Linked DNA regions of Arabidopsis thaliana. The protein of the gene in region 1 purifies or fractionates together with the protein of each later gene. This does not show direct contact. Each region holds a gene or a part of one and is shown on either strand. Other genes may lie near its edges.

Evidence for each region.
Region 2: the proteins of CLUB (region 1) and SEC5A purify together in Arabidopsis thaliana (affinity purification with mass spectrometry, with the first as the bait; one study listed by BioGRID). This does not show direct contact.
Region 3: the proteins of CLUB (region 1) and AT3G05000 purify together in Arabidopsis thaliana (affinity purification with mass spectrometry, with the first as the bait; one study listed by BioGRID). This does not show direct contact.

What each region holds. Positions count from the first base shown.
Region 1 is NC_003076.8:22,097,694-22,101,448, reverse strand, and holds the start of CLUB (CLUB), read right to left. Parts: upstream 1,686-3,755; 5' UTR 1,394-1,685; coding exon 1,330-1,393; intron 937-1,329; coding exon 707-936; intron 435-706; coding exon 253-434; intron 1-252. Other genes in the region: PHOS32 (Adenine nucleotide alpha hydrolases-like superfamily protein), read left to right, coding at 1,756-2,476, 3,567-3,622. UniProt on the Arabidopsis thaliana protein: Specific subunit of the TRAPP II complex, a highly conserved vesicle tethering complex that is required for the proper transport of proteins in post-Golgi trafficking pathways to the growing cell plate in mitotic active cells.
Region 2 is NC_003070.9:28,846,035-28,849,789, forward strand, and holds the start of SEC5A (exocyst complex component sec5), read left to right. Parts: upstream 1-1,836; 5' UTR 1,837-1,978; coding exon 1,979-2,404; exon of another isoform or gene 2,405-2,688; coding exon 2,689-2,843; intron 2,844-2,951; coding exon 2,952-3,037; intron 3,038-3,163; coding exon 3,164-3,358; intron 3,359-3,439; coding exon 3,440-3,567; intron 3,568-3,646; coding exon 3,647-3,755. Other genes in the region: AT1G76840 (uncharacterized protein), read right to left, coding at 532-728, 807-872, 987-1,254. UniProt on the Arabidopsis thaliana protein: Component of the exocyst complex involved in the docking of exocytic vesicles with fusion sites on the plasma membrane during regulated or polarized secretion. Involved in polarized cell growth and organ morphogenesis.
Region 3 is NC_003074.8:1,387,198-1,390,952, reverse strand, and holds the start of AT3G05000 (Transport protein particle (TRAPP) component), read left to right. Parts: upstream 1-2,121; 5' UTR 2,122-2,255; coding exon 2,256-2,407; intron 2,408-2,880; coding exon 2,881-2,998; intron 2,999-3,080; coding exon 3,081-3,303; intron 3,304-3,480; coding exon 3,481-3,509; 3' UTR 3,510-3,755. Other genes in the region: Cand2 (Protein of unknown function, transmembrane-40), read right to left, coding at 3-105, 211-373, 568-759, 1,066-1,350.

The DNA.
Region 1 (3,755 bases):
ATTTCCATAAGTATATAACTTAAAGATAACTTCCTTTAAATGAGTGATTACTGCTAAATGGGTTTAGTTTATGCATCTAGCAAAAATATGAGTGATTGCAATCGTGCAAACTGTTTAACCTAATCTATTTATGTTAGAACTATAGTAGGAGCAATCAAGTCTCATTAGGAATCTGGCATGGTATTTTTTCGGTTCGTGCCTGCTTGTATCAGAGCAAAAAAACATAAACACAGTCCAATCTGCATAGCTTACCTTTCTCTCTTTTTTGAACTGAAGTCAACTTCAAGCTTCGCATATACTTTCTTGACATTTTTAGTTGCTTGATCATTACTTGGATGAGCTTTAGATACAAATACAATAAACCATTCCCTCTCATCATTCTGAACAATTAATTTCAGACGTGGTTTGAGAATGTTTTTAAACTCATCAAGATCCTGCAAGGTCAAAGGTATACTCAGAAAAGCTAGAAGAACAAAAATTGTCGAACCACATAAGTGATAAATCTAACCTAATCCAGAAACCATATACATTAGAAACGGTACCTACTATCTAAACATAGGTTCTTATCTCTTATAGAAAAGGAAAACAGAAACGAATATCATCAAGCACATCATCTTTGTTTCATATTTTGGCACGTGACTACTCTCCACTGCCAAGATTGATACAGAAAAAAAAAACACATATCATCATATCAACAAGCAAGTACCTCACATGTGACAAGAACTATAGTTGCGTATGGTTCTCGAAACCAGAACAAATACTGCTCCTGCGGGAATCGACTACGAAGCCTCGCGTCTGTAGTTAATATGAATTCAACCGGCAAGTTCTCAACAAAAACCGGATTTCGAGTCTTGTTAGTCAAGAATGCTCTTTTTAATGGCTGATGTTCTTCAAATAAACCTTTCACTGTAGGCCACAGATCACACACATCTTCCACTGTAAAAGAATATGCAAGCAACCACTATTACAACGAGCAACGGGAACAATATAAAGAGAAGACATCTTAATACTAACGAACAAGTAGAGTTTAAGATCAGAAACAAAAGAAATCATCATGATCAGTTCCCTTCAGGAATGGATGCTCATTTCTAAGCACTTTTAGCTTCATTCATGAGTATAACCTGACCAACCAACAACCTAACAGATTCATATCATCTGATTTGATCCTTCACCTACATTGAGAAACTTTCCACTAATATATAGCTATGACATCGCAAAATGTGGCAGAAAAAAAAAAGGAGAAATAAGATCCTAATCGAATGCAGCAATCGTAGAGAAACAAAACCCCTAGAAATGTACACATTTGAAAAAAATTGGGGAGAAATTCACCGGCGGCGACGAGACGATCGCAGGAATTCTTAATCGTCTGGAACTGAGCCAAGTAGTTCGCCATCTGAGTCACCGATCTATACGAATCATACGAATAACTCGATCGAATTATACAAAGAGATCAGAATTTGAGTGAGGTTTCGTCTTCTAGCTGCCAGAAAAGGAAGTGGAGGAAATCACCGACGCCGGAGATCTAGTGAATCGTCTTCTTCAAAACTATGGCGCTCAGATTTGATCCTGACCGTTGGATCACTCCTTCTATTAACTACATCTATATTAGAATGCTTGTCGTCTTTGTATATAAATAACGGCATGCAGTCTAATGTTCTATTAAAAAAACAAAAACAACGCTTCTTTCTTCTCCGTTAAGAGAAACCTCCCTCACTCCCACTTTCCGACGAACAAAAACAACATCTGAAAAAAATCATGAATCCAGCAGATTCCGATCATCCACAGCTTCCAAACATCAAGATCCATCACCCTCCATCTCCACGTCACTCTCACCATCACCACTCCTCATCTACTCCCTCCTCCGCCGCAACTCCAACACCAACCGCCGGAGCTCGTCGTAAAATCGGAGTCGCAGTTGATCTCTCCGAAGAAAGCTCTTTCGCCGTTCGTTGGGCTGTAGATCACTACATCCGTCCCGGAGACGCCGTTGTTCTTCTCCACGTTTCTCCAACCTCCGTCCTCTTCGGTGCCGATTGGGGACCTCTCCCTCTGAAAACTCAAATTGAAGATCCAAACGCTCAACCTCAACCTAGTCAAGAGGATTTTGATGCTTTTACTTCAACAAAAGTTGCGGATCTAGCTAAACCGTTGAAGGAGTTAGGGTTTCCTTATAAGATCCATATAGTGAAAGATCATGATATGAGAGAGAGATTATGTCTTGAGATTGAGAGGCTTGGTCTTAGTGCTGTGATTATGGGAAGTAGAGGTTTTGGTGCTGAGAAAAAAAGAGGAAGTGATGGCAAGCTTGGCTCTGTTAGTGATTACTGTGTTCATCACTGTGTTTGTCCTGTTGTTGTGGTTAGATATCCTGATGATCGTGATGGACCTGTGCCTATTGTTACTGTCAAGTCTGGTGGAGATGATGATGGAGATGTTGTTGCTGCTTCTGCTTCTGCTCATCATGAACACATCAAAGGTCAGGGATCAATTATCTCTATCTCTATGTGATTCAGTGATTGATTAGATAAGCTGCTTTCGTTGTTATTTTTTTCATGGATGTTTCTGTTGATGTGTCAGATTTAGATTCAGTAGTGTAGTGAGTGTTGTGAATTTTGTGATCACGTGAATATGTTGTGAAAAAGATTGCCATAGATGGTAGCACAGGAAAATGAGATCCTTTTATAGCTGAACTAAGATGATTTTGTCGATTTAGTGAGAAATGCTGTCCATGTTCATTGCCTTGCTTACCCGAAAATTGAGGATGATGGTCATGTACATAGATGATTTCCTAGCTTTAGTGTATTCGTTCTATGAATTTGTATATATCTTCTTCATCTGCCGAAACTGTTTCTATTTACTGAAGTTAGTTGTATAGTATATATCATAATTTTTGGTGGTTATGGCTAATTTGCTGTAATATATGTTAGAAGATTATTGTTCCCCTACACATGGGACAAAGAAGCGCCGACATCGTTCTATTTCTTGCATTGTTTACACTACCCATTGATTGCGTTTAGACTTTAGATTAAAAGTACTCTAGTCCAGAGGAAAGTTTCTTTTGACCCTTGAAGATAAACTTTTCTAAGTGAGTTTGTTTGATTTATTTTTCCTCTGTTCGGTTTAGTTTGAGGCAACATTAAGTATCATTAGCATCCAAGTATTATGATTCTTGACTTGGGAAAAGGCAGATAAGAAATTATGTCTTCTATAACCCCTCATTTCGTAAGTTGGTGACTGTATACTTGTTGTTGTATGAAACATTGAAAATCAAATAGTGCAGTAGTTCTAAAAAGGAAGCTTCAATTATACTTTTTGTTGTTGTTTGCTTTGGTCCAGACTAGGAAAGGTTACAATGTTAACAGAGGAAAATTTAGGAAAGAATGGGAATATGTAGGAAGAATCTGGTTAACATGCCAAAATTTTTTTTATCTATACTCTTGGGTAATGTTTAGATATCAAATCTAACTGAGATGTAGGCACTACCTTCTTACTTTTATGACAAGTTCAGATGAAAACTTGTCAAATAAAGTTACTGAGTTTCGTAGATTGCTTCTTCTGTAAGATAGTCACTGGTGTTAGTTCTGGAGCATTTGGTATACGTTACAAGATCGGAGCTACCTAGTGAATTTGTAAAAAGATCTGAATGTACACTGATAAGGTAAAAAGGCTATTATCTATAGGTTACATTTGTTATCTCCACCATACTGCATCACGACTAGCAATGTATAATCTGCATGATATTTTAAGTGATCCCT
Region 2 (3,755 bases), on another chromosome or scaffold:
GATTGGTGGTAAATGATTGTTCAGCTCTTTGTAGTTTGTGCGAAATGATCGTTCGTCTTTCACTCAGATGGAACTTTCATTAGAGAGCCTTTTGATGAAACAAAAGTTTTATTAAGTTTTATAGGTCAGCCTCAGTACTCAACCCAAAAAGTTGTAAAATCTATTAAGATAACAGAGGAGGAACTAAGTCAAATCTTTTGGCACAAAAGAGTACTATTTACACACTTGTATAGACATATTACTCTTCTGTTTTACAACTAGCAGTAATTCGACCAAAAGACTGAACAAATGTTTCAATTCCAATAAAGGACTCATCTACGACTAATACCATGCAACATACATATTTCCTTAATCACATCCATCATAATAGTGTCTTGCTCATGTTTCTCTTCATGTTATCCTTCCAAAGGTTCAGAATCCACCTCTTGATGAGTGTTACTTACCGGTGAAATATGACCTGAAACTTTTAGTGTAAAAAACCATAACATGTTTTGTAGCTTTGGTTTCAGATGTATGAGTAAGTCCTCCTCCTCAGCCATTCCTTGTGGCTTTTCTTTTACGAATTCTTGATTCACTGTCTTCATTTATTCGGAAGAGCCTCTTGACTTTAGTGCCGACTGCTTCTTCTAGCTCCAACTGAGTGTACTCATCCATAAGTTTTTCTGGTGTTAGATTCAGACAATGACCAACACTCGCACAACCGACTTTAGTTATCTCCATTCTTTCTTCTGCACTGTTGTTCTAAGTGTTGTGTTCAAAAAAGTTTCCATGTAAAGTTGCTGCTTGTACTTCCTTCTCTAAGGAACCTTTCACATCATCATCTTTGTTTGAGTGAATCTCCTTCCAACATTCAACTGAGTTTTCCAAGATTGCTGTGATTAAAATCAGAAAGAAACACGGATTAGAACAAAATTAGTTTAGCCATAAAACTGAAAAAGTAACTCAAATCAAATGAATACAAGTATATACCTTCTATAGAGCTACACTCTCAGATCTAGGAGTGCAAATAAGAGTTTCTCTCTTAGTTTTGGTAGTTTTCTCAGCAATAGATATTGAAACGATATTCTTAACAAGGTAACGGCCAGTAGACACGACTAGCTCAGCTTCAGTGCTGCTCACTGGTACTTGCACTGAAGCAGGTGATAAGCGCTTGACAAAAAGTACAGAGTGTGATGATACTTCCTCTTTGTCCTCCTTAACTGCAGATATTAAAACTGTGTCTCGCTCAATTTTCTCTTCACGTTGTCCTTCCATAAGTTCAGAATTCAACTCTTTAGTGCTTATTATTTGAGAAACTATCAACTGGTTTTTCCAGTGTAGAATCCAGAACATTCTCATAATCATAACAGATCCTGCACCTTTGGTTTCTGAGGAAATAAGGTGAATCATCAATCATTCCTTATGGCTTATCCTTAATGCACTCTTGATTCATTTTCTTCAACTACTATTGGAGCCTCAAATGAATTATGTCTCGAAGAGTTCCTTGTCAATCTAACATTTAGCTTCTTGAATCTTGACATTTTCAACAGAGGCTCCATTTCGTTCACAGTCAATACTGGAACAACTTTTCTGTGAATTACTCATTGCTTCCAGTATTCAAAATGTATATCTCAGAGAAGGACAAATCACGTCGCAACGTAATAATTTTTTGCAAATAATCTAAATTAATCTAAGAGTCATTTTTGAGGATAAAATCGAGTTACTGACATCTTGTGTGTCTGTCCTTCATACCAAATTATCCGGTCAAAAAGCCACCACACCGGAAAATATTATTTTCTTATCATCGCCATGTTTTGATTTTTCCACGTTTACACCTTTTAATCTAAAAATCAATATTTCTGGAAGAAAAAAAAAAACAAATTAAAATTGTCACACAAATCACAAACTGAAATCTCAAAATCGAAACTAAAGCTTCTCAGATCTCTAACTATAGCTCAAGGCGGAGGAGACTGAGATCGATCATCTGAATCGCCGAAACATGTCGAGCGATAGCAATGATCTTGACGAAGATGAGCTTCTTCAAATGGCGTTGAAAGAGCAGGCTAAGAGAGATCTCACCTATCAGAAACCTCCTTCATCTTCTGCTCGTAAGCCTGTTGCCAATTTAGTGCAGCAGCCTCGACAGCAGAAGCCTGTGGCTGCGGCTGCCGCTCCGCCGAAGAAGTCTGCTGCGGCGGTTAGGAAGCCTTCCATGGATGAGGATGAGGAGTCGGAGGTGGAATTGCTTAGCATTTCGAGCGGGGATGATGATTTGGAGAGGGAAAGGGAAATAGGTGGTTCTAGTGGTGGTGCGGGGAGAGGAAGAGGTAGCGATGTACGAGAGAAGGGAAGAGCGAGGAAGGAAGATGATGGTGCTTGGGATGGAGGAGAGCCTGATTGTTGGAAACGGGTTAATGAAGCTGAGGTATGTATTTGTGGCGAGATTCATCAGTGAATGCTTATGGCTTTGCTTGTTCGATCAAGTTCAAGAGTTTGAATTCGATATATTGATCTATTTGTTGAATTGTACGACACTGAACAATACCATTCGTGGGATACGGTGAATGCTATCCATAGTTTCTGGTGTTGAGTTGATATAGAGAGCTTGATAATTAGCATGCCATTAGTGATTTTAGAACCATAGCATCATATGGATGTATAAGTGGAAAGATGACCATTTTCACTGAAATTCCGGTGGCATTTTGGCAGCTTGCTCGTAGGGTTCGTGATATGAGGGAATCGAGAACAGCACCCGTGGTTCAGAAAGTAGAAGGTAAAGCACCTGCACCTGGGAAGAAAGTGGCTCTGACTAGTTTGCAGTCACTTCCTCGTGGAATGGAATGTATTGATCCACTAAAATTAGGGTAATTGCTCTCGTTTCGTTTTGCTTACCATGGAAGCCAGTCAGATGCTTTGTACTCTGTCTTTGATATGGTAGAACATATCTAAACCTGAATTTGTCTACTTCATAGGATCATAGACAATAAGACATTGAGATTAATCACTGAGTCGTCAGGCAGCCCATCAAAAGCTGAGAAAGTGGATAATACTCTTCGCGGTATGTCTTTCTTTACCATATCTACAACTCGAGTGAACAGTAGCACTTACAATTTTTTGGAGGGCTAATTCGATGTACAATTTCCAGTTGTCTAATTGTTATGTATCTTTTTCTGAGTATTTGCAGAAAAATTGGTTTACTTCTCTGATCATTTCGATCCGAAGCTGTTTCTTTCCCGTATTCACCAAGACACGACTGCAGCAGATTTGGAGGCTGGTGCCCTTGGCTTGAAAAGTGACTTAAAGGGTCGGAATCTGCAAAGGAAACAATTGGTGAAGGACAATTTTGACTGCTTCGTCTCATGTAAAACAACAATTGATGGTATGTATTATTACTTCCAACTGAATAATTTATGTTTTTTTCTTCTTTCATTTTCATGTTGACCACTGATTTTCTTAATAGATATTGAGTCAAAACTGAAGCGGATTGAAGAAGACCCCGAAGGTTCAGGAACTACTCATTTGTTTAATTGTATGAAAAGTGTGACATCGAGGGCCAATCTTGCATTTGAGCCACTTTTTGAGAGACAGGTTGGTGTGATTCTGATTTACTTCTTTTGCTTGTCACTCTCTTTCATTTTGCTGAAGCCTTTTTCAAAATCACATTTAGGCTCAAGCTGAGAAAATCAGGTCTGTCCAAGGAATGCTTCAGAGATTCCGGACACTGTTCAATTTACCCAGTATCATTCGTAGCAGTATTAGCAAGGGTGAATATGATT
Region 3 (3,755 bases), on another chromosome or scaffold:
ACCATAATCCAAAATGAGCACCGTTTGCCGTAAGAGCACATGCAAATAGGGAGAGCCCATTTAAGGCGAGCATGACAGTTATATACTTGTAGAATGCAGGTCTTGCTGTCAAACCGGAAAATAAAAACATATGGGATGAGTAATAGAAGCCAGTGAACAGCTATTGGCTTATGCAACCATAAGGAGGATATGAGTGGTCGATGTATTCACCTGGTAATCTCTCTCTCCATTTGGAGTTGTACATGAAGAATATCATCCCATAAATGCCAGCTAGTAAGAGCTTGTGGATGACCCATAAGCCCCATTTGAACTTATGTATATGTTCATTGTTGTCGATAAACAATGGTACTCCAAAGCCAAACAGATAAATTGCCTGAAAGGAAGAATGAAAACCGTGAAGAAATTAAACTGACTGTAGTTGAGTAACCAGACAATACAAGTTTGCATATATCAACTGTAGTGGACACATGATCTAATGCAGAACTAAGATCATGTCAATATACCTCAAGGAAGTATATCTATCTATATATCAGAAAGTGTATCTAACAGTTATGAACACAAATCTACCTTGAGAAGCAAATCGAGACCAATGACAAGCCCCGAGATGAGGAAAGTTCGTGTTAATGCTTCAGCACCGCTTGCATAGTTTCCTTGGAAGAGAAAGGCTACCAAGCTTACTTCCAGAAACAACATTCCAGATGTTGTGAACAAAGTTAACAAATTCCAAATAACTTCTTTCCCCGGAGTGCATTCCCATGCCTAAACTCATGAAAAGTAAATTCAAAACGAAATCTGGAGTAAGACTAAATCAGGTAAAACATTTCCTGTTAAGCAGCATCTAACCAAGAAATCAACACTAATAGCTTACACAAAATACAAAAGCTTTCTAATCACCAGTGTAGAATAAAAACAATGTTGATAAGATCGCAAAGTTTCTACATTTACAGAGCCTAAAACACTCTAAAAAGCATTCTTCTTCAATCTAAGTTCTGATCTCTTTACACGCAACATAGGTATGAGTTACTTGTGAAATGAATCGAAGTAAAGAAGAGAACTTTAACAAACCTGAAGGCAACACCAAGCAAGATTGAGCAAGCTAACAAGCCAAAGAAAACCATAATAGGCAATCATAATGTAAGATCTCCGATTAGACAACTTGGACAAGCTCTTCTTCGCCTCGTACGCTAAGTAAGCGACGAATAGAATAGATGCTAAAACCAAAACCGTGTTATGAAGAAACCCATGACACTTCCCGACCCATCCGCCGATAAACCCTCCGGTGGCCGTCGAATCAGGGCTTAGCCGAGAAATCACGAACGGTGACTCCGCAATCTCGCTGAGCACTCGCATTTCATCAAATTGTACGAATCAGAAACCAAGTAGACTTAGCGCAAGGAGCGGAAAGCAATCCCTAGTTCCAGAAAAGGAGCTCAATTTCGAGATTTGATGTTTTTGCGATACAGAATTCGTATGAATCGTATATTTCTTCTTCTCTCTGGCGACCAAATCCATACACTTGACGCAAACATGAGTAATTACACAAAAGTTAAAGGGTATTATAGGTAATTATCATCGCTTCTCCCACTTCCACTCTAAAACAAAAAAAAAAAACTATCATTTTTCTCATCCTTTTTATTTTTAACTGATTTTACATGTGATGTTTAAAGAGTTAATTATTGGACATGTGATGTTTAAAGAATTTAAATATTATTCTTTTCAATTCTGTATCTTAAATTTGAAAGACTTATTACAAGCTGATCTAATTTCAAAATCAATCTTATGAAATGTAAATTTTTGAAGTGCTATTTAATAATCAATAATGTGTTATTCTTTTTAATTAAATTAGAAAACGTGGGAGACAATTGTCTCTCTTTTGCCCACCAAAAAGATATTAAAAAAGTCCTATTCAATAATCATGATTTATTTATTTATATTTATATCTCATATTATACAAGTAAAATTGATTTTTAACCATAAATGATCAGCATTCAGCACACCAAAAGTAATTTCCATTCACTTGAAATAATTGTATAAATCGGGTATTTGAAGGAAAATTGAACCAAGACGATCCGGTTTAAATGTCAGAGATTAAGGTTATCATGACTCTTTAAAAAATGAAGTCACAGATCAGAAATAATAGAAAACTATTAAGGACTTAAATGTAAATACTCTACAAGTTAATAGATCGGAGCTTCGTTGCATAAGCCCCAAACCGGTGGAGAGAAGACGGAAAGAGTCTGAGAGAGAGAGAAGAAATGGGGAGAGAAGTGGCGGAGAGCTGTGTAGACACTATGTTAATGGAGATGGTGGCGATGTACAGTGGCCGATTCTATGCTAACAAGCCGGAACTCGCCGCTCGGAGGATCGAGGCCATTGGTTATCAGGTCGGCCACCAGCTCTCCGAGAGGTTTGTTTTACACTTGATCATCGTCTTCTTTCGATCTGGTTGATCATTGTATCTCTAGGTTGCTAGTATTAGTTGTAGATCTGAAGATGATGGCGAATGTATATCGTTAGCAATGATTCTCTTTGATATTGGATTTATCGTTTCTCGTGTGTAATTGGCTGAGAATGTGATAGATGGGAAGATATATGGCGCTGATTCGAGTTTTTTTCTCATTGCTCTAGTGGCTAATTTTTGTATTTAATCGTGCAATGTTTTGGTTAGGAAATTTTCTTGTTGTCTCAGAAGAATGATTCTCTTAGTCCCTGATTAGTTATAGTGTGTGTGTACGAAGAATGATTTTAGTCTGTTGAGGCATGTTTTGTTGCTTCTGAAGGTGTTTGCCTACATAAAAACTGTTTTACAGTGTTGTATGATGGCAGATATTTAGCATTTTACTTGATTGTGCATAACTTCAGCCTTTTTTATGTCGTTAGGTACACTATGGAAAGACCAAGGTTCAGTGACCATCTAGAGGCAATCAAGTTTATCTGCAAAGACTTCTGGTCTGAGGTCTTCAAGAAGCAGATTGATAATTTAAAGACAAATCACCGGGTAAGATAACTGGGATTTTACCTGAACAAAGACCAAAACTCTTCTTGTGTGTGTTATTCACAGATGGAATGTTTCTCTTCAGGGTACTTTTGTATTACAAGACAACAAGTTCCGGTGGTTGTCTCGTGTCTCAATTGACCCTTCATCTGAGAATGAAACCCAAGATCCTTCTACTCCAGGGGAAAGCAAAGCTGCACAAGCGGTGAGCATGTACCTCTATTTCCCGTGTGGAATCATTAGAGGTGTCCTCTCCAACTTGGGGATACCTTGTGCTGTCTCTGCAGATATATCAAGCCTTCCCACATGTGAGTTCACAGCTTGCTTTGCTTGTTTTCGAAATTCTTATATTCTTTCACTTTCTTCTATATTCTCAAAATCACACATTGGAGGGAAGAAAGATAGAAAATTATTTCAAATATTGCTTATTACCTGTCATTATAAGTTGCTTCAGTTCGGTAACTATCCTTGTCATGTCCTCACAGGCTCTTTCGTGATTCGGGTCAAGGCTTGATTCTGCATTTAGCTCGAGTACTTGGCTTTATACTTTCAAGGAAGATAGATCCTTCGGGTCTGATCAATCTAAAACCCATTGCAGGCTTCTGTTTGCTGTTCTTTTGACACACTTTAGCCTTGTGGTGCTTGTTTTAAACAGTGAGGGCTTGGTTTCATGTTTGAAATGACTTTTATTTTTCTGTTGTAAATTTTTGTTGATATCTTATATACAGTAATTCCTGATGCATCTCCATTTCATATCATT